Alligator mississippiensis: one gene and its partners. The protein of the gene in region 2 purifies or fractionates together with the protein of the main gene of each other region. This does not show direct contact. Links are inferred from orthologs where the notes say so. Each region holds a gene or a part of one and is shown on either strand. Other genes may lie near its edges. The genes, in order: YES1, CDC37, CLK3 and FGFR3.

Region 1 (7,874 bases), on a different chromosome or scaffold from region 2:
AAATTTATTGCTAAGGTCTTGCTTTTGTCCAAAGACAAATAGAAATGTATAGAGCAGTAAAGTCATGCTACCACTTAAATGCCAGTTTATATAACCAGAGCTTGTTTTATAGTTTGTCACAAAATAGACATTTGTACACTAGTCACGTGACAACACACATTTACCACAGTGGAACACAGTGAATAGTTTTGATTTACTCTCTTGGAGATGCTGGAAGTATATTGCATATCAAAATAAAGAAGGTTCTATTCTAGAGCATAAAACGTTGTATTGTTTGTTCTGTTACATGAATATGGGTAACAATACACTCAAAGCCCTCCTGGTGTGTTAAAGGAATAGACTCTCTTGTAGTTTTACATTATTTTGGTACATGACATGGCAGGTAAAAACTGGCATCTGACTAACTACTTTAACTTAGTACCTTCTAACATACTACACCCCTGCAAAAGCAGTATTTTTTCTGAGCTATATATAGGGTGACCATATGTCCTGGTTTAGCCTCTGAAATCTGGAACTGTCCTGGCCATCTCAGCGTCCTAGCCATTGGAGAAAGTTGAAGCAAAAATCCCAGATTTGTGCAGACTGTCCTGCTTGCCTCCTGACTCAGAAGCCTGGCACATGTGGGCAGCTTTGTGCCAACATGGAACTTTTGCTTCAGTTTTCTCCAAGGAGCCCAGACAATGGGCTGCTCCCTGGTCTGGACTCCTCTGGGCTGCAAACAGTGTTGCTTTAACAGTAGACTTGGGGTGGGGAGGAGAGGGGAAGGAGCCACGCCACAGGGGGTGGGTGGGTGTGGGTGTGTGTGTACACACCATGCTGTCCTGCATGGTCCCGCTCCTGGGAGCTGTGGGGTTGCAGGGGGCATTTCCCCCCGCTCTGGATTTCTCTGAAATTATTATAGTTACACTAGCTATATACAATACATAAAATAATCTGACCGTTCAAATATATATTTTTACACACACATTTTTCCCCTAGAAGCCAAAATCCCATTTTGGTAGAAAATACTATGCAAAAATAATTGAATAAATTCTACTTTATAATAAGAAATACAAATTAAAGGTATTTAAGGACTAACTGTGTTCCCGCTGAAGGGACTGTGAAAGCAGGATTTGGGCCTAAATTGATGGAAAGTAATGAAAACCAACAACCAAAGACGCATAACAATCAGTTTCTGCCTTTTATCCCAGGCTTTTATTTTTCCCCTTCTGTAAACGTGTTTACTGTAGTCTTTTGCTTTGGGGAGAAAAATAATCCCTTCTGATCCGTGTATTATACTTCATTCATGTTGCAAATACTGTCTCGTTAGTACTAAGTACTAAGGCCCTGACTCCGCAAAACTTAACATCCCTGCTTAGTTTTGTGAATGTGGACTCATTGGACCCTACTTTTAAATGAAGTTACACATATGCTTAAGCTTTTGCAAGACTGAGGTCCAAGTTATATTGTTAACTAAAGGAGTTGTTTTTGAAATTTACAAAACGTGAAGAATTTATGAAAAAGCACTATGTTAACGTTACAGAACTTGGGGGAGTAGTACCCTAAAAAGGACACCTTGCCTAATATTTAATTAGCATGGTATATTTGAATAAATCACTCTCTAGAACAATATTCTACTCTACCCAAACAAAGCAAAATGGTCCATATCCCTGGTCACAAAACATGTGGAGTTGGAATTACCGAAATAAATACAACGGTATGCACTTGTTGCCTAAGGTGTACAGCCTATAGCCCCCAGCCTGCTGGTATTCACTCCCGTGCAGAACTCGATGGACCATGCATCAATAGATGACTACTCACAAGGTGCAAAGTCAAGTACATGTCTCCACAAGACTGAGGGCCTACGCTTTCTCCATCTGATTTTTTTCAAAAACAAGCAGGCTCCACAAAGGGCAACTACTGCAAACGTAAACCTGTAAGTCACTGCGCCCCCGATAGACGAGCTTTCGAAGGCAAGAGATCTCGTAATGTGGACGTTCAACTATCTCAGCCAGGTGGCTGGTCTGAGAAAAGGCATGGTCCTAGAGATGCCTTGCCTCTCGGATACAAGTCGCCACAAGGAGAACAGAGGGGAGCACAGATGCATTACCGGAGGAAAGCAGGGACACCAGGCTACAGAGGACTGGAAAAATGCATTTCCCTGATGTCTGCCTTTTCCAGCACTGCTGGGACAGAACAGGACGCTTTTACAGAGAGCTGCCTTCGCCTCCCGGGTCAACCGAGGCCTGAACCCGTCACATGAGGGCTGGAAGGGACATTAATCCCACCCCCCCACTCCCCTCCTCCAAGCAGGACCAGACCCCACTGCATCATCCCCACCAAGGCTTTGTCTTAAAAACCTCCAAGGATGGAGATGACACAGCCTCTCTGGGCAGCATGTGCCAATGCCTCCCAGTCCTGAAACCCACACGCAGCACAAGCGACCAAGGAAGACAGACAAAGCCGGGGGAGGGGGGAGAGGCAAAGAGCAAAGCTCGCCCCAGGCGCGGGTGGGAGGGACACGCAGCTGGGCCCCCACCCACCCAGCGCGCACAAAGCGAGGAGGCGCGGCGCCTTCCCTCAGCCCAGGCGGGCGGCGCGGCTCCCCACCCCCCACGCGAGACGGGGCCGCCCCGGGGGCCGCCGCGCCCCGCACCCCCCAAAAAAAGTTCCCCGCAAACTTTCCTCAGAGCCAGGCGCCCCCGCAGGAGGGCGCGGTGTGCGGGGCCTAGCGCCGCCGCGGCCTCCCCGGGGAGCGGGGCCTCACCTGCAGCTGCTCTGGCCGCTGGGTCGAGGAGGAAAGGCCGCGACCGGCTGGGCTGGGCTGGGCTGTGCACGCGGGGAGCCGGCCGCTCCGCTCCGCCAGCGAGACAGGGAGCGAGGGGCCTCCCCGCCTCCTCCCGCTGCCGCCGGGCTCCCCGCACCGTGCGGCGGCGGGGAGGGGTGGGGCCGGGCCGGGCCGGGCACGGCGCTCACACCCTGTTCCCGGCAGGCGGCGGCGCCCCTTCAGTGCGGCCCGAGCGCAACACGCCGGCCCAACATGGCGGCGGCCGACGCGCGGGGGAGGCTCTCGTTCGCCCGGCCCGGCCCGCAGGGGGCGCTGCTCCTGCCCGAGGGCCCTGAAGGGCGGGGTCGGGCGGCGGGCGCTTGCCTGCCTCCCGCTCCCTGGGGCCGGGGAATGGCCCCGGGATTTGGCTTAGGGTTGGTTTGGGATAGTCCGGGATTGGCCCGGGAATCATCCAGGATTGGCCCCAGGACACTCCGGGGTTGAGGATTGGCCCCAGGTAGTCCAGGATAGAGGATTGGGCCTGGGATTGACTCTAGGGCTGGCCCTGGGTAGTCCAGGATTAGCCCTGGCACAGTCGGGGAATGGTTTTGGAGTCCAGGATTATCCCTAGGGAGTCCAGGATTAAGGACTGACCCTGGATTGGAGTGGCTCGGGAATTGGGGCGACCGCCCCAGGCTCCACACTTTGGGGGGGGGCCCCGTGACCCATGCTGTACAGGCCTTGCGGGCAGTGCCATTGGCACGTGCTGAGGCCACCACCACTCTGCGTGGCCACCATGTGCCACTAGCTCTGCGCTTCGGCCTCTCGCCATGTCTGGCCCCTGCACAGGCGGATATGCCCCAGGCCCCGCACACCTTTAGGGTCGGTTCTGTCCGGGCCTGTCCCCAGGTAGTCCAGGGCCGGCCCTGGCACAGTCTGGGATTGGCCCCAGGGTAGTCCAGGATTGAGGACTGGCTCTGGGGCAATCCAGGATTGGCTCAGCAAGAAGACTTTCAGAAAACAGATTTGAAATCCTTCCCCCCCACCCCAGGCTCTGTCAAGAGAGTGGCTTGCGCAATAGCTGTAAATTGAGTCCCTTCCGAGGGAGTCTCCAAATGAGTAAACCTGGGCAGATGTGCAAGCTTGCTTGCTTGCAAGTTACCTTTTAAAATTTGTTCAAGTGAGGCAAATGAGACCACTGGGGGATAGAGGGGGAAGCACTGGAGTTCTCCTTCTGCTGTGTTTTGGACACTGCTTGCAGCCCCGGATCCTGAACTAGGGACAGTTCAGATGGATATCACAACAGTAGAAGAGCTCAAGATCATGTAACATCCAGTTCTACACCACCCAGTTTCCAGTGACCTCAGGCTCATGAATCAGCATTTCACATTTACAGTGATAACTTTGCAAGGAAGGAAGTCTGCCACAAAGGAGAGTTGAGAGAGAGAGTTCACCTGCAAATGCAGCTAACCTTATGATCACAAAACACAAGAATGAGAAAAAAGGAAAGCTTATAAACCAAAGGTTTCATAGATTCATAGATTCATAGATGTTAGGGTCGGAAGGGACCTCAATAGATCATCAAGTCCAACCCCCTACATAAGCAGGAAAGAGTGCTGGGTCTAGATGACCCCAGCTAGATACTCGTCTAACCTCCTCTTGAAGACCCCCAGGGTAGGGGAGAGCACCACCTCCCTTGGGAGCCCGTTCCAGACCTTGGCCACTCGAACTGTGAAGAAGTTCTTCCTAATGTCCAGTCTAAATCTGCTCTCTGCTAGCTTGTGGCCATTGTTTCTTGTAACCCCCGGGGGCGCCTTGGTGAATAAATCCTCACCAATTCCCTTCTGTGCCCCCGTGATGAACTTATAGGCAGCCACAAGGTCGCCTCTCAACCTTCTCTTGCGGAGGCTGAAAAGGTCCAATTTCTCTAGTCTCTCCTCGTAGGGCTTGGTCTGCAGGCCCTTGACCATACGAGTTGCCCTTCGCTGTACCCTCTCCAGGTTATCCGCATCCTTCTTGAAGTGTGGCGCCCAGAATTGCACGCAGTACTCCAACTGCGGTCTGACCAACGCCCTATAGAGGGGAAGTATCACCTCCCTGGACCTATTTGTCATGCATCTGCTGATGCACGATAAAGTGCCATTGGCTTTTCTGATGGCTTCGTCACACTGCCGGCTCATGTTCAACTTGGAGTCCACTAGGACTCCAAGATCCCTTTCCACCTCTGTGCCACTAGGACTCCAAGATCCCTTTCCACCTCTGTGAGGTTTCCAGCTTCACATGTACAAATCAGTCTCTCTCAGGAGTACTTATTTTCAAACCTAATTTATACGTGTATTTGTACTTGCAGTATCAGGCCAGCATTTGTTTCCAAAGTTGAAGGTGCTGTAATAATAAGCATACTAATTCACTGCTAAGTATTTTTCATGTTTTAAATAGATGATCTTGTGATTTACATTGTATTGTACACCAATACAAATTGTATGCCAGTTGTGGTATACAATTGCAACCTGTGATTTCAAACCAATGTGAGTGCATAGTTTGTTTATATCACACCCTTCCCATTTGTATCAAGAAGCAGTTTATAAAATAATAGTATGAAAAGCAATTTGACATGTTGGAATGAAACATTTCCTCAACATATATTTCATCCATCTGATCTTTTTAAAATTAGTTGAATCTTTCATTTATGGTAACTCTCCCTCAAGTATTCACATCCTATATATAGAATTGATTTTTAATTAACGAGAATAAGATTGTTTTACAGACTCAATTGCCAATGACTGATTTAAGGAGTATTCACAGCCTGGTTAAAATTCTGGTCTCGTTAACACAAGTCAGTGGAGTTAATTTTGATTTACACTGGAGTTGAATAAGAACAGAATTTGGCCTGAGGGCTCAACTGTATGTTTATATAGATGGGCAACCATTGCTGCATAGTTAATTTTACAGAACAGACACTAGGGCAAACTTACATATCTTAAAAAAGACCAAATCTTAGATCTTCTTAATACAGATATCCTTAGCATACACTTCAGAATAATTTTGTCTTGGTGAATATTAGGATTAAGCTAAAGGAGTGCATTGGCTTTTGTGAACTCTTGTAGTTTGAACATAAGATGTCAGGGGTGAGGTAACTCGATTATGGTATGAAAGCAGTTCTATTAATTCACCCAATCATGGTGAAAGTTCCTCATTATTGGAAACTTGGTCAAAAGACTCAGATGCTCAGTGCATCCTCCCATGCATTTTGATGACCATCACCCCTTAAAATGAGAATAAGCATTTTGGAGGAATTCTCATAGTGTAAATTTAATAAGGTTTTGAAAACCTGGCCTCTGTTTTTAGATGCACAGCTGGATATATGGCTATATAAACATATACAGATACATGTACATACACACATACCTGGTAGATGCAAAAATACAGTATTTGTTTCTGCATAGTTATCATATGCAAATATCACATATACAAAATACGTAAAAATAGACTTTTTAAAATTAGCCCAATTTTTTCTGGGTTTTATATTTAAATATGTAATTACATATTTATACAATGATTTTTAAAAAAATTTAGGTTACTTAATTGAAGGACTAAATCGTCTAGACACTTTTCCAATACAAATGATAATGAAGGCATAAAGTATGTCTCTGAGGAAGAGAAAGAGCAGAAAAAAACAGAGAGGAAATGTAGAAAAAGATGAAAGGTCACTGATGAGTGACTAAGGAAAAAACATCCATTCTGAGATTTTGAAAAATAAGAGTGGGTTAAATTTCTGAAGCAGTTTGGCAGAAAATTCAATTCATGAAGAAATTAAAACACATTACACTTTATGCACATAGGGAACATTTAAGGATCGTTTTTGAAAACAAGCATTGAAAACAAGGAATAAAGATGTTGTTTTAATGGTACCAGAATGATGTGGGCACAAACATCTTCAAATATTCTTTTTAGCTTACCAAATACAGCTCCAAAGTGCTATCTAAAAATCAGGCCTTGAGTTTTTAGTTACAAATTAAAGCTTTGTATTTTTAAATGTTTTGATAATGATATATATAAACCTGATATAGAAGATCCGTTGGATCTTGTGACTACTTAAAAGTGCCAGTGTGCACTTTAGAAAAAATAATTAAAATGTTATCAGGATATTTTCCTGGGAAATTCTGTTCCATGGTATTTTGTGTTTAACGATGTGCTGTTTATTAGAGATTAACAGGTTTTTCATGGTATTTGCAAAATAATTAAGTACTTTTTCTTTGAAATAGTTAAAAGCAGAATAAAAATTGAAAGGAATCCACAGCATTTTCCTGAATGTAGATGTACAGCCTTGGAATCATAGATATTGTTTTGTATTGTTTGGATTCTAAATGTATGAATATTATGGTTATATTTATAAAGTGTGAAAAATACTTAAATATAGGAACAAATATGCCACAACATTTCTGTTGGCAACTGAATCCAAAAGACATTATGCCCAGTTTTCCTCTGATATAATGACACTGAAGAGATGAATAACTCTAGAATAAGAGCAGCAACTACAGTAGGAGGCCTTATCCATACAAACATTTACTGTAAGCATGCATATAGTATTATTACTTGTGCTGTTATATCCCATCACAGCCTTGTTAATGATCAGGGTCCATTGTGTAATCACACAACAAAAAGATGATTCTTTGTTCAAAGAACTGGTCATCCCATTGACTTTTGCTTAAAATTACTATATTTACGCTAATCAAAGATGACATTGAATATAAGACAACCCCCCAATAAATAGCTTCTGTACACGGAAAATTTATCAATTTGTTATAATTTTTAATGTATATAATCTGATTTTGCAGGGTTGTCTCATATTTGTGCCCCCACCACTGCTGCTGGGCAAGCAGCTGCAGCAACATGGGAGCAGGCGGTAAGGGAGTAAAGTGGCTGGCTCCTGCTGTCTGTCCCTCTCAGCATTTGATCTCCTTGCAGCCTGTATTCCCCCTGTCTCCAGTGCCTGTGCACCCTGGGCCCAGCCCCTTTCCCACAGTGCCTGCCTCCCCCCTACCACTTGACCCTCCTTTCCCTCTGTGCCTGGCCCCCTGTAGTGCCTGCCCCTGCTCTTGCCTGCCCCACACAACATCTGCTTACC
Region 2 (7,515 bases):
CAGAGAGGCTGGAGGCCCGAGGCCCCCATGAGCCTGCCTGCTCCCCACCCATGCCACTGACCCATAGCCATCCAGGCTGGGCCCCATCAGGCAAGCATGGGACCCCCATGAAGGGAAACTGAGGCAGGAGCAGCAGGTGGAGGTAGGAAGACCTTCCTCCCAACTGGGGCCGAGTCTTACCCCACTGGGGTGATGTTAGGGTGCGGCGTTAACCCTTTTCACCCCCGAGGGAGGGGGCCCACCCAAGGCCCCAACGACCTCAGACCCGCATCTCCCCTGCTCCGGGCCGGATTTTGGCCCCAGCCTGGCCTCCGCAGACGGCTGGCACCGCGTGGGGGGAGCCGGGCAGGGACCGAGGTGGTGGTCGCCTCCATCCTGTGCCGCCTCCCCGCGGAGTTGGAGTCCCTGCCTTTTCCAGCGCTAGGGCCGGAGGGACCTGGAGCCGGAGCCGGGCTCCCCCTATACAGCCGCCTGCGGATGCCAGACTCGCAGGCGCTGCCGCAGCATCGAACCCCGGAGCAGCCCCCCAGCGGCCCCGGGCGGGGGGAGGCTGCGGTCCGCCCCCAGGACCCCCCGCCCTCGGCTCTGCCCCTTACCTCGCCGGGCCGGGGCGCCGCGCACCGCCCTCCCATCCAGGCACCGCCGCGGTGCCCTGGATGCCTGGGTTCCCCGCGCGCGCGTGTGTGCGCGTGTGTGCCCCGGACGCCTGGGTTCCCCGGGTATGCGTGCGCGCGTGTGTGTGTGTTTGTCTGCGTGCGTGCGTGCCCCGGACGCCCGGGTTCCCCCGGGAGGGGACGTGTGTGTCCCGGACGCCTGGGTTCCCGGGGGTGGGGGGTCTGTCTCGGACGCCTGGGTTGCGTGTGTGTGAGCATGTCCCGGACGCCTGGGTTCCCCGGGGGTGTGTGTGCCCGTGCCCCGGACGCCAGGGTTCCCAGCGAGTGCTGGGCGCTAGGAGCAGCGGGCAGCGGCCAGAGCGTGTGAACGGAGCCGCCGGCGCTGGTTCCCCGGGGCGGGGGAGCGGGGGCAGGACCGTCTCCCCGAGGCGCACAGCGGGTTGCTCTACGCCCAGCCCGGCGCCCCTCACAGCCCGGCCCTGCCTGCACCCCCCTCCATTCCTGCCTCTCTCACCCGAGGTCGCTCCCTTCTTCCCCTCGCAGCTTGGGGGCCGGGTCTGGGTTCTGGCTGCATCTCTTCCTCCCCCGGGGCTCCTCGACATCTTGAGTGTCACTTAGAGCAGCATCGGGGCTGTTCTAACTCATCCTCCCCCAGTTCCCAGGGACAGGATGGGGGCTGGGATCGAGCTCTCATGGCCACTAGCCCCATGCTGGCTGGGGCTTGGGGGTCCCAGGCCTGGGTTTCTGAAGGAAAGCCCTTCTGTCTTTCCCTGCCTCTTCCCCCTACTTTGGAAGGGGGTTTGGGGGCTGCCACTTACTTCCTGCCTGAGAGCCAGCTGCAGCCAGGGCAGTTGTCCCATGGGGCAACATGTCAAGGGCAGTCAAGCTTGCACCACACCCTGGACCATGGTGGGGGGAGGGGAAATCAATGGAAGCAGAAATACTAACACCCTCCAGCCCCAGGGCCCTGGGGATGCCCACTGGGGTGAAGAGCAGATGCTCCTCCCAGCCATGGGGCTGCATGGACCATGCAAACTTGGGGAGACTCCCCACCAGACCAGCAGCCCACATAGTACAGCTGCCAGACACAGACCAGGCTGGGAAATTGAGGCTCTGGGATTGGGGGGGCAGGCAGGGGGGTCACCCCACAGGGCAGGGGCAAAACCCAGGCATCCTGCCTCCCCATCTGATTCTCCACTCTCTCCCACGGCCTTGTGATCAGGTCACAGAGCTGTCAACAGGAGGCCTGCCCTGGTAGTACCTTGATGGTGCCAGGCCCTGCACAGGCCCTGCAAGAGGCAGGCCATACCAAGGTCTGTGGGGTCCCTGGCAGAGACACCGTGCTGCAGCAGCCCTGCTGCATCTGGATCCAGCCTGGGGGAGGGAAAGGCCACCCAATAGGTCACACCTGCAACCTGCAGGAGTCAGGGGATGTGGCCACAGCCATGCAGGGAGGCAGTGGCAGGTCTGAACTGCCCCACCCCCACCAATTCAGCCAGGCCTCAGTGGCTGCAGGGTAGTGCTCACCACTGGCAGGCCTTGTTCCAGTCCTTTTGGCTCCCCATGGCCTCTGCCATATGCTCCTGCCACCTGCCTGCTCCCCTAGGCTCTGTCCTGGCCATGCCAGGCCTTTGCCTTGGCACACAGCCCATGCACCACAGCATGGCCTGGCACCAGCCTTTGCTAGCAGCAGGACAGACACCAGCTCAGCTGCAGCCCTGCACTGGCCTGGCTGTGCTGGGGAAGGTCTGGAATGGCAAAAAACAGGAGCCTGGGGAAGGGGGATCTGCCAGCATTTGTTGCCTGGTCTGCAGATCCTTGAAACAGCACAAAGTTCTGCTGGGGTTCGGGGGAGGGGGAAGGAAGCATGATAGGAAGTGACCAAGTGCAGGGGGCCACTGCTGCAATGGAGGGGGTATAGATCTGTCTGGGGGGCACTGAGGGCCACTGCAGCATCACCCTGGGCAGGAAGATCCCCTAGCTTGGCCCTGGCTGCTGCTCTGGATGATGGTACTGGGGATGTGGGATTTGCAGGCCTCCCTTGCTCCTCCACGTGGCTGCCTGGGAGACAGTTAAGAGCTCTGGAAGCATCTCTAAGAGCAGCCTGGCCAGGAAGAGCAGGTCAGGGAGTGAGGTCTCATCACAGGGCCAGGGCTAGAGAGCTTTGATCCAGGGGGTTTGGGAGCGTGGAATGAAGCAGGGACTCAGCATTGCTGGCTTTGGACCCAACTGGAAGTCCATGCTGCCCACCACCCTGACATGCAGCTACCTCTGGTGCAGGAGGAATCTCCTCCAGCTCCTTTCACCCATTCTGTGTCCTATATTCCATCGCAGTCACAGGCCATGAAGGGATCCATCTTCAGGCCTTGGTTCTGAGATATCATTGCATCAAGGCCCACTGAGCCCAAGCATGGAGCTGGGGAGTCTTCAAAAGGAGTTTTCAAAAGGAGGGGTCTTCTTTACCCTGGGGGTCTTCAAAAGGAGGCTAGATAATCACCAAGCCGGGGTCATTTGACCCCAGCATTCTTTCCTGCCCATGGCAGGGGGGTGGACTTGATGATCTGCTCAGGTCCCTTCCGACCTTACCTAATATGAAACTATAAGTGGAAGGAGTTTCCAGGCTGTGCAGAGCTGGTACAAGGCTGGAATTCCAAGCAACAGCTCCGTGGCCGTGGGCAGCGCTGTTTGCAGCCTTGATGAAGCGATGACAGTCCTGGCATGGCTAAACCTACACTCCTTACTGAGGGGCTGGTGGGGCAGAGAACTGGGTGACCTGCAGCTGCGGGGACCAAGCTAGTGGGGAAAACATTGGGAATCTGCTGGGGGTTGCATCCAGCCTCTGGAGGTGGGGAGACAGAATTCAAACACCACCAAAGAGACTCAGGACCTGGGCACAGGTGTTTTCCTGGAGTCTGAGCCATTCCTAGTCAGTCCCCCCAGCTTTGGGGGCTGCTGACAGCCAGGGGGGAATCTATATCTGGCTGAGATCCTTCAGCAGGGAACATGTGTACTTATGTGTTTGCACTCATGTTTCCGCCCTGCCAGCGGCTACAAGGCTCAGAGCAACCCCACAACCAATGCAATGGATGGGACCAGTCCTGAGTCCATGCAAGGTTCTGGCCATGGATGCAAGTGGGGAGGGGTTGGCCCTTCCCAACCCCTATGGTTGCAGGCACCAGGTTTCCCTCATGGCAGGCGCCAGTAGCTGTGAGGGGGTGAGGCCAGGAGGCTTTCCCATGTCCAGCCTTGAAGGATCCAGCCCCGAGCTCCTGGCTTGCAGTTGCTAGGTATGCCTCAAAGTAGCACAGACCAGGCCCTTCATGGCCAGCCCCAGCACCAAAGCAGGATGAGGGCTGGGGGGCTGTAAGCACCAAAATAGGGGGGAGGAGGGCACACTGACCTTTCCTCTCCCCCACTATGTGCATGGCAGGAGGGGTGGGCGGGGCAATCCCTTGCCCCACCCCACTTGTGCATAGCTCAGGGGGTCCTTCCCCTCCTCGAGGGTAGCAGTGGGGGGTCCCCTCCCCCTCCCCGCATGTGTCCTGGAGAGGTATCCCAGCATGTGCCTCATCCGGGGACTCTCCTCCCTCTCCCACCACGTTAGACACATGGAAGGAAGCCCTCCCATCACACTGTACTTGAGGTGTGTACACCTTTAATGCCCACGCCATCTTGAGTTGGGACGACGATGCAAGCACACTAAGCAACTGGGAGGGGAGGGATGATGCTCCTCTTGGCCGCCCGCATGCGCGGCAAAGGGAGGCACCCGCTCCCCACAGGGCAGACAAGGTGGGCAGCGGCGCGCGTGCGTAGTGGCGCCGGGGAAGCCAAAACGGGCTGCTGAACGGAAAGCGGGGAGGGCTGGCGGAAGTGATGAGAGGTCGGGCGGAAGTGGGCGTGCGCGGTGCTGGAGGGTTCCAGAAGGGCCCGGCGGGAGCGGCGCGGGCCGGCCCTGCGCAACCATGGTGGACTATAGCGTGTGGGACCATATCGAGGTGTCGGACGATGAGGATGAGACGCACCCCAACATCGACACCGCCAGTCTCTTCCGATGGCGGCACCAGGTGCGTGCAGAGCTCCCCCCGCCCCCCATGGTTGCCTGCATGGCAACCACCTCCCCCGCACCAGGCCTTGGGGGGCTTCCCCAGGAGCCCTACCCCTTCTCCATGGAACCCCCGTCCCGGGCCTGGCCTTGGGGAGATCCTCTGTCTCCTCCTTCAGGAGCCCTCCCTTAGCTCCATGGAATCCCCCTGGGAGGTCTGTCTGCATGGGAGCCAGCCTCCATCCCGCCCCCGCCTAGGGGTCACATTCTGTCCCCATAGGAACAAGCCTCTCCCCCAGGGACAAGTCTTTGAGGAGACCCATTTCCACGGAAACTAGGCCCGGGGGGCAGCCTTGTAGAGACTCTGTAGGTGTCCCCCACACCTCATCCTTGTCCTCAGGGTTCCCCCCTACTTCTTCCCCATGGGATCCCCATCCCAACAGACACCCCCCTGCTCTGCTCCTCTGGTGCTGTGCTCTGCACTGTCCCACGTGCTCCTCTCTGTGGGCCTGGCTCCCCTAAGAACCCCTGACCCCAAGATTGTGTTTCTAGCTCAGGACAGGCCTGGTCTTCCTGGGGCTGCAGATGCACAGCCCCAAGGAAACTCCAGGATCTGTGCCCTTGTGTCAGTGCTGTGACTGAGTTGCTCCTGCCCTGAGGGTGCTGCCTGATTCAGCGCCCTACCCCCTGCATGGCTCATCTTGCCTGGTTTGGGAGGCAGCCTGTCCACTTTACCCTTGCAGAGTCCTTGGCTAGGGTCTTTGCCTGTGCTGTCAGCCAGCAAACCTGGAATGTCTCTCACTGCTCAATTGAGTTGCTACCATCTCTGTCATTTCCATCTCCCCTCCAGCCCGGCCCGGCCCAGCACAAATGAATGGTGCCAGCTGGCAGTCCTGGCTGGGGCCTGGCTATCCTGGCTGACTGACCATTGCAGTTAGCTGTGAAAAGGGCCAACGCTGCTCTTATGTGGTCTGTCTTTGGCCCCTGAGCTCCTCAGTCTCACAGCGTCAGTCCTTGCAGCCCCATGCAGTTGGGCAGTGCTGCCATCCCATTGTGCAGGTGGGAGCTGTGAGGCTGAGGAACTTGGCTTGTGTCGCAGAGCGCATCTCTGGCATAGTGGGGGATGGCATCAGCCTCCCATGTGCCCAGCCCAGGAAAGTAGTGGTGCCCCGAGCCCTGGCTGTGGCCCGGCCCCATTGGACTGCATGCAGCAGTGCGTGCTCAGGGGTGTCTCTTGGACCTCTCCCCCACCCAAGGATATGCCTCACTATTAGTGCCTCACTATTAGTGCCTCTCTGGTGACCCCTCTTTTCCCAGCTGCTTTGTAAGATCTCGAGGAAAAGGGCATTGGTCGTGACTGAGCACAGGAGTGAGCCTCTGAATCCAAACTCCGTAGGCCTTAAATGCTGGAGGCTGCAAGCAAGAGAGGAACAGTGGGGAAAACCCCTGTTCATTCTTCTTTCTAGCATCTGCTCTCCGTTGCAGTGTGACATAGGCCTATTTGTCACCTTTAAGAACATGGGCCTAGCTCACCAAGTGTTTTATTAGCCTCCCTCAGGTGTGGAGGCTACAGGAAAAGGTGCCAATAGGTTCCATGGACACATGGTAAAACAACAGGGATGGGAGTGTTATATGTTCTTACGATGTGGAGCCTGAGTTACAGGTAAAGACCCATAGTACAGGCAGGGAGACTGAAGTACAAGGGAGGAGAGAGACCAGTGCGCGACTGGTCTGTGACTGCCTCTGTGTATCTGCAGTTGTAGACACTTGGTGTCTGTCCCCCTCTGGCCTCTTCTCCATGGCTCAGACATGTTCCTTGATACTAGAGGCTGCTGGGGTCAATGCTGGCAGAGGGGGAGGTTGGGGCTGTAGATAACTGCAACTGTACAAAGGAATAGTGGAACTGGGCACTTGGGAGCCCAAATGAGCTAAGCGGGAGCTTGGAAAACTGATGCTTCCCCTGGACAAGGCCTGAGTCCTTGCAGTGGGTCAGTGGCAGCTCCTGGAAGAGAACCCCAAGCTTCCTGTGCGGTACAGGGCTCAGTCCTTGCTGAGGGAAGTGGCTTAACACAGCACCAGGAATATCCCAGGTGAGCTCTGTTGTGACAAACCAGGGATCTTTCTCTAGGTGGAGACCTGTTCTTTAGCTGGTAACCCTATCTCTCTCCCCAGCTGCTAGCATTTGGGAACCAGCAGGAAAGAGACTTAATTTTTCAAGATTCCACTAGCCTCTGCAAGAGGGTTAGATCAGAGATGGCTAAGCTGTGGCATGGGGCAGATCAGGGAGGATACAGGCAGCGCAGCAGCAGGTGGGGCAGGGAGTAGATCAGGAAGGGGAAGGGGATCACAGTGGCACTTGGGGAGGGCGTAGGGGTGACGCATGGCATGCCTGCCAAGGAGCTTGGCCCCCATAGCTGTAGATACTGCTGTTAGCTTGAGATATTAATGTGAGCTTACTAGCTGCAGTCCAGCCTGGGGGTTGGGGTGTAGTGAGGCACTGGGCCAAGTCCAGGTATTTTTAACAGGTCCCAGTTTAGCAGATGACCTCCAACGGCAGCATCCCACGTGCCCTAGGGACTAACAGAGCCTCATGCTTGGGCCAGGTCACTGCAGAGGTTGTGTTTCACATGTGTTGTCCTGGGTGGAGCTGTGTCCAGGGCTGGGAACACACCCCGTTGGCTGAGGTAGTTCCAGCCTCAGCAGTGATATGCACCAGAGCTGAAGCTGTGGCACATGACTGTTGTGGTAGAGCACTCCCAGTGGCCTTGGGTGGCAGGCAGAAGCTTTGGCCTTACACCCCCTCCAGGAGCTCCCAAAGCAGAAAATGCTGCCCTGAGCTCCAGACATGACTCAACCTGT
Region 3 (7,555 bases), on a different chromosome or scaffold from region 2:
ACCTACAGCCTAGGGAATGACCTGCTGGGTGGCACAGAGGTGGAAAGGGATCTTGGAGTCCTAGTGGACTCCAAGATGAACATGAGCCGGCAGTGTGACGAAGCCATCAGAAAAGCCAATGGCACTTTATCGTGCATCAGCAGATGCATAACGAATAGGTCCAAGGAGGTGATACTTCCCCTCTATCGGGCGCTGGTCAGACCGCAGTTGGAGTACTGCATGCAATTCTGGGTGCCACACTTCAAGAAGGATGCGGATAACCTGGAGAGGGTCCAGAGAAGGGCAACTCATATGGTTAAGGGCCTGCAGACCAAGCCCTACGAGGAGAGACTAGAGAAACTGGACCTTTTCAGCCTCCGCAAGAGAAGGTTGAGAGGCGACCTTGTGGTTGCCTTTAAGTTCATCACGGGGGCACAGAAGGGAATTGGTGAGTATTTATTCACCAAGGCGCCCCTGGGGGTTACAAGAAATAATGGTCACAAGCTAGCAGAGAGCAGATTTAGATTGGACATTAGGAAAAACTTCTTCACAGTTCGAGTGGCCAAGGTCTGGAACGGGCTCCCAAGGGAGGTGGTGCTCTCCCCTACCCTGGGGGTCTTCAAGAGGAGGTTAGATGAGCATCTAGCTGGGGTCATCTAGACCCAGCACTCTTTCCTGCCTATGCAGGGGGTCAGACTCGATGATCTATTGAGGTCCCTTCCGGCCCTAACATCTATGAATCTATGAATCTATGAATCTATGAAACTGCTATTGGCCTTTGGATTTAATAAAGGCATTTTAGCCAAATTCTGGCATGGTCAATTGAATGCCAGTCATGACTGGGCTCAGTGGGCTGTTGGGACCTTTCCCTTTTTATTTAGTCTCAGTAGAAAAAGAACAAGAACCTTGAGCTTTTACCGACCAGCTACAGTATCTGTGGAGCAAACACTGATTCATGGAACAAGCCTATGAGATTAGATAGAAATATGGGGCCAAAAATATCCCTGTTGTAATTTAGCAAACTCAACAGAATTACACCAATGATTTTGCCTTAGTGTAATGGCACCCACATGACAAATGGGAATGCTGAAGCTAAGTGACTTGCCTGAACCCACACTATCAGTTAGTGGCAGAGCTGGGTGTGAATGTATTCAGATGTTGACTCTTTTCCAGATCTACATGCCATACTCCAGCTCTGCTTCTTTTTTAAGGACTAAGATGTGGGTGATTTTAGATTTAGGGAACCAAGACTTCTGAATTTGTTTGAAATGGGTACAGTTGGTGAAATGTCAAGAATAAATGCAGTATGTTTCTGTTACTTGTGTACTCATTCATCCATCCAAACTGTACAAATAAGTGGACTACACTAATAAATGGAACAGAAAAAAATTGCAAAAAATACATTAAAAAGCAACAGAAACAGATAACATAATTCCTGATCCTAATGTGGCACTGAACTGCAAGTCATTCCATACATTTTTCTGTCCAGTTTTAAAGACTGGGTGCTGAATAAATGAAATACTATGGGAATTGCTGTTCATTTACATCTTAGGCCTACATGTGATGGTATACGTGTGTAATGAATAAGGAAACCTCACACAAAACTGATCAATTCTCCTTCTCTCAGACATACCGTTGAATGAACAGTCCTATATAGGCAATAGGGTGGTTAATGAAAGGAATCATGTGTAATGTATCTCAAAAAAAGTAAAATACACTGTAAAACAACTAGATTACAAAAATATTTCATATCTTGAAACATTATGGTAAGTCATCTGTTGCAAGAGGAAATCTTTTTTCGTACTGCTCTACTCAACCATTGCATTATTTCTCTTTGGCTTTCTTTTTCTAGTCCTGGCTTATGCAATAAACCAAAATATGCTAAAAAAAACCCATTATGTAAATAATTGGGTGATGTTTAACTGAAGAGATAGTAAATGTTTTTTGACCTACTGGAAAGTAGGCAAATAATCAATACGCAACAAAGCAGAATTTACTGTATGCACCAATTATTCTCAGCCGGGGTGCTGCAGCACCTTGGGGTGCCTGGAGAGTCTTTCAGGAGTGCCACTCAATGTAGCACTGCTAGGCAGGCAAACATGATTCACAAGATAAACGCAGAGGCATCAAACAGGAAACCAAAGCTTCAAAACCATTCTGAGCTGCTACGGTCGTTTTGAGTTCATAGAAGACAGACAAAGTTCTTTGGGTAAATCCAATATCTTTTATTAAAACAACTCAAATAAAAGATATCGGATTTACCCAAAGAACCTTGTCTGCCTATGTTCTTAGACCAACACGGCTGCAACCTACACCCTTGTCACAGAAGAGTTGCTCTATTATTTTTCCATAGTCAAAAATGGGTGAAAGCTAAGAGCGTGCACTTTCTGAGGGGGACCTTGAGTCTAACAAGGTTGAGAACCACCGTTACGCACTAATGTGTATAAAGAGCACTGGTGTATTACCCTTACAAAACACAACTGGATAGTACCATCCAGGTAGGGTTGCCAACTCTGAATCTATTCCGGGAGGCTTCCCAAATGCCAACGTGCCTGTGACACACACGAGCGTGCCCACATGCTTGTGTATATCAGTTACAGATTAAGGTGCATGGGCTTCAGGCCAGGAAGGCAAACGCACATGATTATTACATTTTCAAAACCCACTGGACTACTGTATAAATCAGATTCAACATTTAATATATTTATTTCAATGAATGCCCTATCATTTATCTTCCGGTGACTCTCAGCCGTCTCCTGGAGATTTATATCTAATTCCTGGAGACTCCAGGGCAATCCTGGCGGGTTGGCACCCCAACATGCAGCAAGCATTAAGGAGAATACCCTCAAATCTACACTAACTGCTGTTTTCCTCTTCACAAAGCCCCACACGTGTCTTCCCACCCACTTGCCCTTTGCAGGTCGCAGCACTACAGGACTATCACTGACCGACCCACAAACCATACACGTCTTGGTCCGTGCCGTCAGCTTCTCTGCCCTTGCTTTCGTGAGATCCCCACCGTGCATGATTTTCAACACCAGGCAGCGGGCAGAGGAGACAAAGCCGTCCCTCACCATTGAACCAAGAACTGACCTCTGTTCTCCGTGGTGGCAGGTGCCAGAACAAGGAGCAACGGGCTCAAGATGCAGCAAGGGAGGTTTAGGTTGGATATTGGGAAAAACTCTCACTAGGAGGGTGGTGAAGCACTGGGCCGGGTTACCTAGGGAGGTGGTGACATCTCCATCCTTGGAGGTTTTGAAGGCCTGGATTGACAACGCTTTGCCTGGGATGATGTAGTTGGGGCTGGTCCTGCTTGGAGCACGGGGTTGGACTAGATGTGACCTCCTGAGGTCCCTCCCAAATGAACTTCCTACGCTTCGAGAGGCGGGGTCGGCTTGCTAGGCCCCGGGAGGTGGTGGGAAGGAAGAAGGGAGACCGCTAGATACAGGAACTGATTTCTTGGGGCAAATCAGCAGAAAAGAGGGACGGGAGTGAGGTCACAGGTCAGTCACGAGGCCTGGTTGACGCGTGCGGGACACGTGGGCCTTGCGCCCAGAACAGTGGTTGCCCTCCGCCCTTACGGGGACGGCTCCTGGGTTTGCGTCAAGGGCGCTTGGGGGACAGGTAACAAGCAGGGCGAGGTGGCAGGTGAAGCACAAGGAAAGGGGACACCGGGGAGCCTGCGGGCGTGGACCAGTGAGACTCTGCCCGCAGGCGAGGGGGGATCCAAAACTGGGGGGAGGGGCAGTGGGGTCTGGGGACCCCCTGGGCTGGGAGGGGAGGGGAGGTGCGGTGCTGGGGAGCCCCAAGGGTGACCCAGGGCAGCGCTCTGCCCCTTTAAGGGGCTGCCCCTGCTCCCCACCGCCCCCCCCCCGGCCCTGGGCCCAGCTCCGCAATCCTCCAAGCCCAGCAAGAAGGCGGCTAGAGCGCCGCGCGGAAGGGGCCGCCCCCGGAAGCGCCGCTCTAGCGACAGGAGGCGGTTGCGCGCGCACACTGCGCGTCGTCGTCGGAGCGGGGCGACAGCCGGAAGCGGAAGCAGCGGCTGGGGCCTGGCTGGGCCCGAGAGCACAGCGCTGAGGGGGCGCGCGGCGGTGAGTGTGGGGGGAGGGGGCGGCTCCGCATCCGGCCCTCGGGGGTGGTGGGGGGGCGGCAGAAGTGAGGATCCCTGCAGCGCCCCGCCCGCGGCCCCCTCCGCGGATCTCCCCTCACGCGCATGCGCCTTGGCTGGAGCCGCCTCCCGCGCCCCGGGGCAACGAGGGCGCCAACCCCTGCGTCGGAGGCAGCGGCACGGCGCGGATGGGATGTGCCCGCCCGGCGCCGGGGCCGAGAAGCGAGGCGGCGCTTGCCCAGGGGGCTCGGGGCCTAAAAAGGTCGAGAGCGGAACCCGTTTTGTCCCTTGGCGCGGCGCCCGCCGGACCGCCGAGCTGCGGACGCGAGGGAAGGGCCGGGGGGTCGTGGCCGCAGCCGCGGGGGGGGGCAGCTTTTTCCCTCAAGCTTTAACGGGAGGGGGGGAATCCCCTTTGTTTTCAAGGGCCGACGGGAGCTCTCCTTTCCCTTGCCAGACAAACGACTGGCCTGGGCAGCCTGCCAAAAGCAAACTCGGGCTGGCTTTGCGTATGCTCCCAGGGGCGTGCGTGCGTCGCACCAATCCTGCGGGACAGCAGGGGTTGGTACCGATGAGGATTGCGCATCCCGAGCCCTCCTGCACCAGCAGAGCCGGGTCCTGGCTGTGGAGGGCCGAGGCATTCGTTGCGGTGAGATGCTGCCAACGCTGTAAAAAGTCATTGTGGTGGGGAGGGATCAGGAGGGCTTTAATTTTGGATTGGCAGCCAAGTCCTCTTCAGCAGCTTTCGGCCACGTCAAGGATACAAATGGGTCAAAGTCCTTTGGCGCTTCCAGGCCAGGATCAAGTGTCCGTGCGCGGTGGCGGGTTGTGTTAAGGATTAAGGCCTCGTAAAAGGTTTTTTGCGCTGAAAATGGATCTGCTGGCTGGCGTCTGTCAAAGCAAAAACTAGAAGCCTCTTTGGCACGTGGTGATTTGGGTTGTGTTTGTGATGTGCGTAGGGCAAACGAGGAAGCAGGCAAAAAGATGGGGGAGTCATGTAGTTGAAAGGAAGGGAAGGCTGTGGGCATGGGGATTACTTGCTTAGTTTTTCCCTCTCTTGGCTGGCGCTTGCTTGTGAGGCGGTAGTGGCTTAGCTTGGCCACTGCCCACCTCTGTTGCTGCCTGCAGGAACAAAACTGATGCTTTCTAGTGAAAGCGATGGAGGGACATTCACTGGATATGGGGGCCAACGAAGGTTGAGGGGCAAATATGTGATGAGGAGCTGGTAAAGGCCATCCACCCTGAAGGAAAAGAGGGGAGGATGTTTTGAAGGGGAGGTGGACAGAAAAGGGCAAATGAATTAGAAATAAGGGAGCAGGAGAGAGCCACACAATCCATACAAGGCAGCGGAGAGACACGGGTTAAGAAGCCGTTCCATAAAGGGATCCTGACGTGTGTTTTTCTTTTAAACAAAGTTTGACCTTTCTGCATCTGACTGACTTTCATTTTCTACGGTGCAGAACTACAAGCCCCAGACAGTAGTTTCATTTTAATGCCTATTTACATTATAACAGTGCTATGCTATTTGAGTTTGGACACTTCTGGGTTTGAATCTAAACTGACTTTTCAATGGGATTTTTCTTTAAACAATGTTTTGGTGGGCATTTTTTCTTTAATGCGTGGTAGTTTTGTAGTACAGGTTTAGTATCTTAAATCTTGAGCTGCTGGTTTGAGAGGTTTGCATTCTTTTCTTGGGTATTAACGTAACTGATAATTGTGATATTACATTCAAACAAAATTGGATCCAGGTTTCCTGAAATGACTTCTATGCTCAGTTGCCATCTGATACGTGGTGCTGACGGGGTTGTGGAGTGAGAGCAGAAGATCTGCTCGTGCATGAACTGCACAAGGCTGCTTAAGCTGCCAGGAATCCCTTGTGTAGGTGTATCCAGGCCACATCCCTTTCTGTGAGATTTACTTCTCCCAAGTAAGGCAGATGCAATAGCTACCGTGACTGCTCTGCGCCACCAGAGGATTTCTTCTTGCACGGGAATCCTCTTGGGGGCATTTCTAGTTAGTGATATTGGAGCAGGACAGAGGAACATGGGGGCACAGGCCATTAATTGGGCCATTATTCTAGCCACCATGTTTTTTAATTTCATGTCTTTTGATAGTGCTGGCTTTCCAGGCATTATTAACACAGGATGAGTTCAAACGAATGATGAAAAAGCAAGAAGGTCTGCACAAAGGCCATCTGGTCTGCTGATCAAGACCGAGTTTAATTGTAGTAAAGGAACACTTGATTTAATTTAGTCCCATTATAAATGGAGTTAAATTAGTTCCAGATTCTTATCCCCACCCCTGTACTCTTACAATCACATGTCCTATTTGCTTAAAATACTTTTGTATATCTCTAGCTTATAAAATATTTGCAAATGGTGTGAGAGCTGAATACATGAGGGAAAAAGTGAAATCTCAGTGGAGAGTGGAAAAATCCAGAAAAATATTCTGATTGTTTTTCAGTGGGAGTAGTAGTAGGTGTTAATAGGTATTAGATTGGAAAAAAGGGTGATGTGCAACTGTTCCCTGCTGTTGCACACATTGCGGAGACTTCTTTATTTATAACTGTAATTACTAATGTTGGTGATGACTTTTGTTGCTCTTTCTCTCATCTCCTCATGGCTTTTTGTTTTCACCTTCTTTAGTTAATAAGTAGGGAGCTCCATGAGACTTGCAAACTGTCAACAGTTTGTTCCAGTTGATACCTTTTACTCAAGTGCCTTCCTTATTGCGCCCCAGATGCATCACTGTAAGAGATACCGATCCCCGGAGCAAGAGACCTACATGAATCACAAATGGAAGAGGAAGAGGTCTCGCAGCAGAGAATACGAAGGCAGATTGAGATACCCACCTCGCAGGGATCTTTCAAGGAGATCACGATCTCGAAGGTGAGAGCAGGCTTTATCAAAGGCTTGGACTGTCTTCTAAGCAGTTGCTGTGGAGTGGGCAGGTGTCTGCCTTAGATGGCTGTTGTGTTTTTGGATAAACCTTTGATTCTCATCTGAGCGTTTGAGATGAGATGCCTAGCACAGGTGCAGGCCTGTCAGCTTTACAGGTACAGCAGAAGAATACCTAGCCTAATATTACATTCTTTAACTCTTGTTTTGCCACTTTCTTGGCTGTGCTTTCATTCTTAACCTTGGATTGAAGTCCATGGAAAGCTAAGACATGATTAATGCACAGCAGAATACACTTGCTGAATGGACAAGGTTGTTCAGGTGCAGTTAAAGATTAGTTACTCCAGCTTCGCTATTCTTTCATATGGACTACATTGAATAGTGATCTTCTGGATGAAGAAACCACCTTAACTGATGAAAACCTTTGCTGTTTAGTTTTACATCATGACTATCTCCATATAGGCTTGGTGTGGGTTCTTTAAGTGTTTGTAACTATACACTTTTGTGCTGCTTAGTTACCCCTGAATCCTCTCTGCATCTCTAAAGAGTTAGCAAATGGGGAAAGTTGTAGATA
Region 4 (7,032 bases), on a different chromosome or scaffold from region 2:
GTTGGCACTTTCTAAATTACCTTTCTCAGTAATGAGCAGTGGGGGGAAAGCTGAGAGCTAACTGGATGAGACAGTCATTCTTAGAGTTAATTTCTTGGTGCTTTGACACTAACTTGTCTTAGGGTTTTGAACAAGTTGCTCTCTCTAGAGAGCAGACGGACAGTCTCTTTCAGAACAGAGTGCAGCATATATGTCGTTCGAACATAATGTGAACAGAATCCGATGTTGAGAATACAGCAAGGTACGCTCGTATCAAATATTCACAAGGAAAAAGGGCATCTATTGTTCTAGAGCATCTGGAAGAGAATTGCTTTTCCATGCAGCTGGGGATATTCAAGGTCACCAATAAGCCTAACGAGAAGTCTGAAAACGCAGTCTCTTCAGTGGTAAAAAGTAAACAAAGAATTAGCAATGCCAGCCACTCCTGCAGTATGATTTTTTTCACTGACAAATGTACCAAAAAATTAAGGTGAAAGCTGTACTTAACCTGGTTCGTATGTACCTTATGGCATAATGACCATAAAAATCAACTCAAACAGTGTTGTGTAGTGTTTACAGTCCCACATAAATGGATTTTATAGTGGGAGCATGGCTGAGACACAATCCAGAATCTGAGTTTTTGCTGCACATGATATCTTGGGAGCTATTACAATTACCACCAGTGGGGATCCAGCTTCCAGAAATCAGCATTTAAGCAGATCTGTATTCCACAGTTCAATGTGAATGCACTGGGCCAGGAGTTGATAAAAGGGAAAACTTAAACTATTCCACTCTAGGGAAAGCTACAAACCTTGAAGTTCTTACAGAACCATCTCAATCCCACTTTAATTTCCTCTTGTAAAGGGCTTCCAAGTATCATAAGCTCTTCCAAATGTTATAAGCTCCAAATGAAAAACAGTTCAGACCCATTAAAGGGTTGTGTTTACATGATTTGATTTCTAGGTTGTTACATCTCTTAGGAATCATAAGAGGTAATCCTGAAATTCACTCATATTTTCACCAAGTTGAGGAAGCACTTGGCATCACCTGATGTGATAGCACGTCCTAGCATCCTGAGCACAGACCTAGAGGCAAGAGAAACGTTACTGCTTCTTCTAGACTCACTTTGTGGCTTAGGAAAGGCATTTAATTTCTCAGTCTCCATTGCCTCATAGAACAAGGATGATAATAATTAAAGAGGAAGTGTGAGGGTTCATTAATTAATGCTGGGTAAACTTCTGATTTTCTTTGCACTGGCAATACAATAATATGAGATCACGTTTTCAAAAAACAGGAGCCTGGATGTCTTCAAAATGATAACGACCTCCAAATTTGCTCCACGCGCTATTTTTATTCTTATAATTGCTTTATTATTATTGATTTTCTGCCACCTCTGACACAAGCGCTGTGAAAGTAACTGTCTTTCATCTTACCAATTGTTGAGCCTGTAGATTAACCACATCTTAGTTATGCGTCTGATTTTCCCCCCATTGTTTTCACTTGAAGTGATTGTGTCACTCAAGAGTCTCCGCTCAGATTTCCTTGCCACAGGCCCATCTCAATGCTCTCTGACACGATATTGAGATGTCACTGTCTGTGTGACTGATGAAGGTTTCAAGACAGATTCCCATCTCGGTTACAACAGTGCAAACTCAGAGTAATTCCAGTGAAACCAGGAGCCACTCTAGAGTTACACTGAGATCTAAACCTGGCACATCATCATTAATTTGGAAGGGACTCTCAAAGCTGCCGCGTGCTGTAACACTCACGTTCGGTTTTTATAATTCTGACAATGTCCTGTATCCGCACAGGCTGAGGTGAACTACTCCAGCACAAGAGCGCTTTATTGCTGCCCTGATAAAGGGATTTCTCGGCTGATGTGCTAATATTTGCATCTCCCTCCTTCAGTGAATTACTTTGTCAAGAGGATTAAGACAGAAGTATGACTTATTCTCAGTATGATACAATTTGAATCACCTCTTAATGGCAAATGGTGCATGTCAATGAGTCAGCTTGGCTGTATCTGTAGGTATGTTGCATTGCCTTAGATGATGATGAGATAGCTGTAAAATTTTTAATGAATTTTAATCTCCACACATGGTGAAGAAGCTGGACAGAAAAACCTCACGTTGTTCAGAGGAAGGGAAATATGCTAAAGAACCCGGCTCTATAGTATAGAGTCTCTTAAAACTGGTTTCTTGGAGTCTGTGCTTCTGTTTACTGGACTGCTTTAATGCAATCTGAAATAACACTTTTGTCAATTTGCCCTCGTCCCATTAAAAATATAATGAAACATTTTAGATAATGCCACCCGCTGTTTAGGCACCACAGGGCTAGAAATCTTCAGGGACAATGTGTGATGTAAGCTGTACATACATTTCTAGCAATGATGTACATGAAAATCCAGTGATGGATAAAATACGGATCGTCCCTGTTTAATGACGACGATGAAAACTAGCACTTCCACAGACGCAGCTACCCAGCCTGCTGTGGAAATACTACCTAATGAATCATCAAACCCCGCTAGTGTGTTACATCGCATTACATTACGTTGCATTACAGGATTGCAAAGGATGTTTGTCGTCATTTTGAGGAGATCCATCCAGAACTTTTCTTTCCTCTTCTCAGCTCTCCTTCCACCCCACCTATAAGAACCTGAGGCGCGTTTAAACCTGGAGCATCATCTTTCATTTGGAAGGGACTCTCAAAGTGGCCACGTGCCGTAATATTCGCTTTAGATTGTTAGGAACCAAGGATCATCAAATTCAATCCCTTTGCTACTGATTGTTATAATCCCTGGATGGATGTCTCCTTTTGGGACACCGGTGGCAAGGTGCTGAGAAGGGATCAGAGGGGAGAAATCAAAGAATCATAGAAGTAGGCCTAGAAGGGACCTCCAGGGGGTCTAGTCCAGCATTTCTCAAACCATGGGTCACGACCCAAAAGTGGGTTGCAAGAATATATGAAAGGTTTACAAACAAACTTTAAAAATGGATCTTCCTTTAAAGAGGAAAAACACGGGAAACTTGTGAGTTTTCCCTCACAGGCTGACAGAGGTCCAGCTTGCAAGGGGCTGCTTGGGGACCCCTGGCCCCACACAGCATTTACACATGGGTCCCGGTACAAAAAAGGCTGAGAACCACTGATCTAGTCCAACCTCCACCTGAGGCAGGATCAGCCCTATCCAAACCATCCCGTGCAGTCCATAATCTAAACTCTGAACAAGAGGACCATCAACCCTGACAGAGCACAGACCTGACACCCAGCGTCCTGCCCCTATGAAACACTGTCAACACAGGCTGCAGAGGTCCTGGGTGGAGGGCCACCCCCACCCCCTAGTTAGGCAAAACCCCCACAGTCCCTACCCATCCCACCACAGAGTAAAATACTTTCCTGACCCCAAATCTGGCTACCGGGGGACCCCCGTCCCTGACCGGTGTCAGGGGCAGCTCTCAAGACTACCCATACCTTCTTTGGTCCGCAGTCCCAGCCCCACGAACGCCCCCAGCTACCAGCAGCCTTCGGGGTGGGCAAACCAGGGCCCCACACCTTAGGGGTCCCAAAAATGTTGCCACAAATATCCGCCTTGCTTACAGACCCTCAAAATTAAGCCTCGACGCATTACGACCCGCCGAGTCCCTAAACCACATCACGAGGTGTGTCTATTCGTGTGTCAGTCGCACGCAAAGGTCCCCATTTGGAGATTTCCCCCCAGATCTCCTCCTGACTCTAAAACTTGCCGCGGAGCCCGCGTGTCTCTAGTTCAGAGCCCCCCCATCATCTTAACTACGCCTTGAAAGGGCGGCTGTGGTGCAAGGACAGCGGGGAGGCGCTGCTCGCCGGCCCCACATGACTGTGGGCGCTGCGGGGACGCCGGACCCCGGTGGAGGGGCGGGAGCGCAGCCAGGTGCGCTGCGGGCAGGGAGGGAGCGAGGGAGCCGGGCCGGGCCGGGCCGGGCCGGGATGCCCGCGGGGCAGGCGGGGCGGCAGCACGGACCCTCCCCCGGGGCCGGGCGGAGCGCGGGGCGGGGTCCGGGGCAGGCAGTGGGGCTGCGGGCGGCCGGGCTCACAAGCGCGGCGGCTGCGGAGCGAGCAGTGGCGGCGGCGGCGGCGGCTCCTGCATGCGCGGGGCAGGTAGGCGGCGGTGCGGGGCTGTGGGGCGGGCCGGGCCGGGCCGGGGCTGGGCTGCACCTGCTGGTGCCCGCGGGCCCGGGGGTGCTGCGCCCGCTGACGGGCCGCGCGCGTGTCGCCCGTGCAGAGCCTGCAGCGTGATCGGGAGCCCGGGCAGGGCGGCCAGCATGCGGCCCCGCGATGTCTGAGGCTGGCGGGGGCAGCGCCGCGACCAGTCCGCGTCCCGGGAGCGCGGCCACAGGAATGATTGCTGCGTGGGGCGCCTTCTTCTGTGTGTACCTGGTGGGGACCGTCGGCAGCCGCCCGGCGGCCACGCTGCCCGGCTCGGACCCGGAGGACAGGAGCACCCGCAAGCCCACGGGTAAGAGGGAGGATGCTCGGGGCGGTGCGGGGCCAGATCTCTCCTGCACCCTCAGGCTGCGCTTGGCAGGTGCTGGGCGCCCCGGCGAGCTTGCTTCCCCCCCCGCCCCCCACCCCTCCAACTGGGAAGGGTGACGCTTTCCTCGCTGGGGCTGCAAGGGACCTCGCACATCTCCCCCATGCACTCGGGCAGCAAAGCCCGGCGCCTGCGCCGCTTTCGGGAGGCAAAGCCCACTGTCCACTTGAAATGTTCCGGGATGTAGGTGGTTTTCTGAGACGAAAAGAAAGGCAAAAATGTAGAAATCTTGGTTCCAAAAATATATATATATATATATATATATATATATATGTATGTTTTGTAATCTCTCAGCCGGTCTAATAAGAGGTATCATTTTGGAGCCGTGCATTGTAGATTCTTTGCATTCCCAGAGGTTTCCAAGACTTTCACTTGACAGCCGGCACCTCTGGATTGCTGCTCAAGCGCGCGGCGCGATAAAGGCCAGCCAAAGATAAAGGGGAACGTATGCCGGTTCTTGGTAGGGTGATGGGAGGGCAGATCGTATAAACCAGTGCTCATCTGTATGGATGGAGCGCAGCACACAGTAAATCCCAGGTTAGTCATAAATGTAAGCACCTTTCGGACCACAAGCAAGGGGTAAAGTGTTCTGTTGATCATTTAGACTCCGAAGTCAGAACTGAAACTTTAGCTTCAAATACGAGTTAGATCCACAGTGCAGCCCTGTGCTTGAGATTGCTCTGTTCTGGACTCGGGAGGACGTTTGTTTATTTGGTAGAGTTTGTCCTGCAGTTGTTTTTTTTTCCCGCTTATCCGGGCTAGAATGACCCAGTGAGAATAGATTTAGAATTGAGCTCACTTTCTTAGAGGACTTTTTGTTACATCTCTGCAGTCACATACATACAACATGTATCAACAGATTTGGTTCATGGCACAGCTTGTACGTGGAGTTTGCAACAGCAGAGAGATTTGCTTATCCAGATTGCAGACACACATTTGAAATCCAGACTGAATGAGAGGCAAGCATTTGTGTGTGTATGGATGCTTCTTAGAACTATGATACCCCTTGTTTTATCCCAATTTTTTTAAGAGGAGGTTTTGAAGAGGATGTACTGGATTGCGAACGTGTTGAAAGGGAGGAAATATTTATGGGAATCTACTAACTTCTCCTGCCTTGAATGAAAATGTTTCTATCATGAGTAAGGAAAGATAAGGTACATGACAAAAACTGGTTTAAAAACAGAGAGACTGTTTAAAGTTGGTGTCTCTCTGATATGCCTCAGCTGCTACCTGAGTCTGTTTATTTTTTCAAAGCTCTTTAATGGAAGGTCGCCTCTCCTGCTTCACTCTTTTTTAAGGTTCCTTGCACCAAACAAAAAGTTCCCATTGTTCAGGAAAGGGTTGAGGCATGTTTGCCAAAAAAGTGACAGGGGAAAAAAATGTGCTTCGTGGAGGCTAGGGGTGGGGGCACTCTGTCTACCCCCCCCCCCCCCCCCCGCTTTTGGTTACGGCCATAAATCACACGTGGGGTTGGTTTTGTTTTTGAGAAAGTACTAATAAAACACCAGATTCTTAGTGTAACTTGTTTGGCTCATTTTTCACAGCCAAAAGAATTGATTTATAGTGCAGCATCACAGCTACTTTGTCAAAGCAGATGAGTTTGGGGTTTGCAAAGGAAACAAGAAAAGCGTGCGCTAGTAAGCTGAGCAAGGGGGTTGCTGAATTTCAGTGGCAGCATTTTTCTTCCTATTTTAGGCCAAAAATATACAGGGTTGGCTTTTATGCGCAAAATTCTGCTCTTCGTAACCCCAGGATAAATCTGGAAAGTCTCCACTAGCTTCGTTGGAAGCCCCCTGGAGTTGAGCATCTGCAGATTATAAATTTGGGGGCCACAGCAGTATTATAATGAAGCAGTGTTGCTCCGTCCTGTAAGGCAGAATGAGTGCTGAAATTGTTGAGATGACATTTGAAATACAACAAATAGTGTACACCCAAGTCTTTCAGGGTTTTTCTAGGAGAGAAGTGGTTAAAAAGAATGGTCCTAGGGCGATGCATCTCCCAGGGACGTAACCAAAATTTCCAAATTTTCTGTGGAAAGTCTACATACGCGTTCTATTTTTACCATATTGGCTCTTCAAAGTAATGGCACGTTTCTGATCCCACTGAAGCTGGTGCCAACGTTCCCATATGCGTGAGCAGGATTTGACCTGATCTAAGTGCTTCTGTTCCACTAATGCACAGCATATTTGTAAGTGTTTCTCTGTCAGTTGCAGCAGTTCAGAGTTTTCCCTCTGTAAGAAAAGAGATTTCACACACGCGCACTTTTGATGTGCACAGTGTTACTGAAACAGCCCCGAAGGCTATAAAACCAGATTGATTTTTGGTAGAACATGCACATGTGGAAAGCCACTCAAATGAAGAGGATCTGAAATATGCCTAGCAAAACTTTTTGGTTGGCTTGTCACAGTGTCCCGTTGTCCAGTCGGTTGTGGGCAAGGGGCGAGGTTTGAATGCGCAGGGCACTGTTGAGGAAAAGATTGTGCAAA

What was found.
Region 1: the proteins of CDC37 (region 2) and YES1 purify together in Homo sapiens (affinity purification with mass spectrometry; 3 studies listed by BioGRID and IntAct, counting the BioPlex papers as one, with this or other methods). This does not show direct contact. The link is inferred for Alligator mississippiensis from reciprocal best matches to the Homo sapiens genes CDC37 and YES1.
Region 3: the proteins of CDC37 (region 2) and CLK3 purify together in Homo sapiens (affinity purification with mass spectrometry; 4 studies listed by BioGRID and IntAct, counting the BioPlex papers as one, with this or other methods). This does not show direct contact. The link is inferred for Alligator mississippiensis from reciprocal best matches to the Homo sapiens genes CDC37 and CLK3.
Region 4: the proteins of CDC37 (region 2) and FGFR3 purify together in Homo sapiens (affinity purification with mass spectrometry; 4 studies listed by BioGRID and IntAct, with this or other methods). This does not show direct contact. The link is inferred for Alligator mississippiensis from reciprocal best matches to the Homo sapiens genes CDC37 and FGFR3.

What each region holds. Positions count from the first base shown.
Region 1 is NC_081826.1:89,119,770-89,127,643, forward strand, and holds the start of YES1 (tyrosine-protein kinase Yes), read right to left. Parts: upstream 3,001-7,874; 5' UTR 2,747-3,000; intron 1-2,746. UniProt on the Homo sapiens protein: Non-receptor protein tyrosine kinase that is involved in the regulation of cell growth and survival, apoptosis, cell-cell adhesion, cytoskeleton remodeling, and differentiation.
Region 2 is NC_081831.1:22,389,149-22,396,663, reverse strand, and holds the start of CDC37 (hsp90 co-chaperone Cdc37), read left to right. Parts: upstream 1-4,506; 5' UTR 4,507-4,576; coding exon 4,577-4,678; intron 4,679-7,515. UniProt on the Homo sapiens protein: Co-chaperone that binds to numerous kinases and promotes their interaction with the Hsp90 complex, resulting in stabilization and promotion of their activity. Inhibits HSP90AA1 ATPase activity.
Region 3 is NC_081834.1:41,769,300-41,776,854, reverse strand, and holds the start of CLK3 (dual specificity protein kinase CLK3), read left to right. Parts: upstream 1-4,541; 5' UTR 4,542-4,595; coding exon 4,596-4,733; intron 4,734-6,823; coding exon 6,824-6,972; intron 6,973-7,555. UniProt on the Homo sapiens protein: Dual specificity kinase acting on both serine/threonine and tyrosine-containing substrates. Phosphorylates serine- and arginine-rich (SR) proteins of the spliceosomal complex.
Region 4 is NC_081825.1:18,441,980-18,449,011, forward strand, and holds the start of FGFR3 (fibroblast growth factor receptor 3), read left to right. Parts: upstream 1-4,026; 5' UTR 4,027-4,113; intron 4,114-4,237; 5' UTR 4,238-4,290; coding exon 4,291-4,471; intron 4,472-7,032.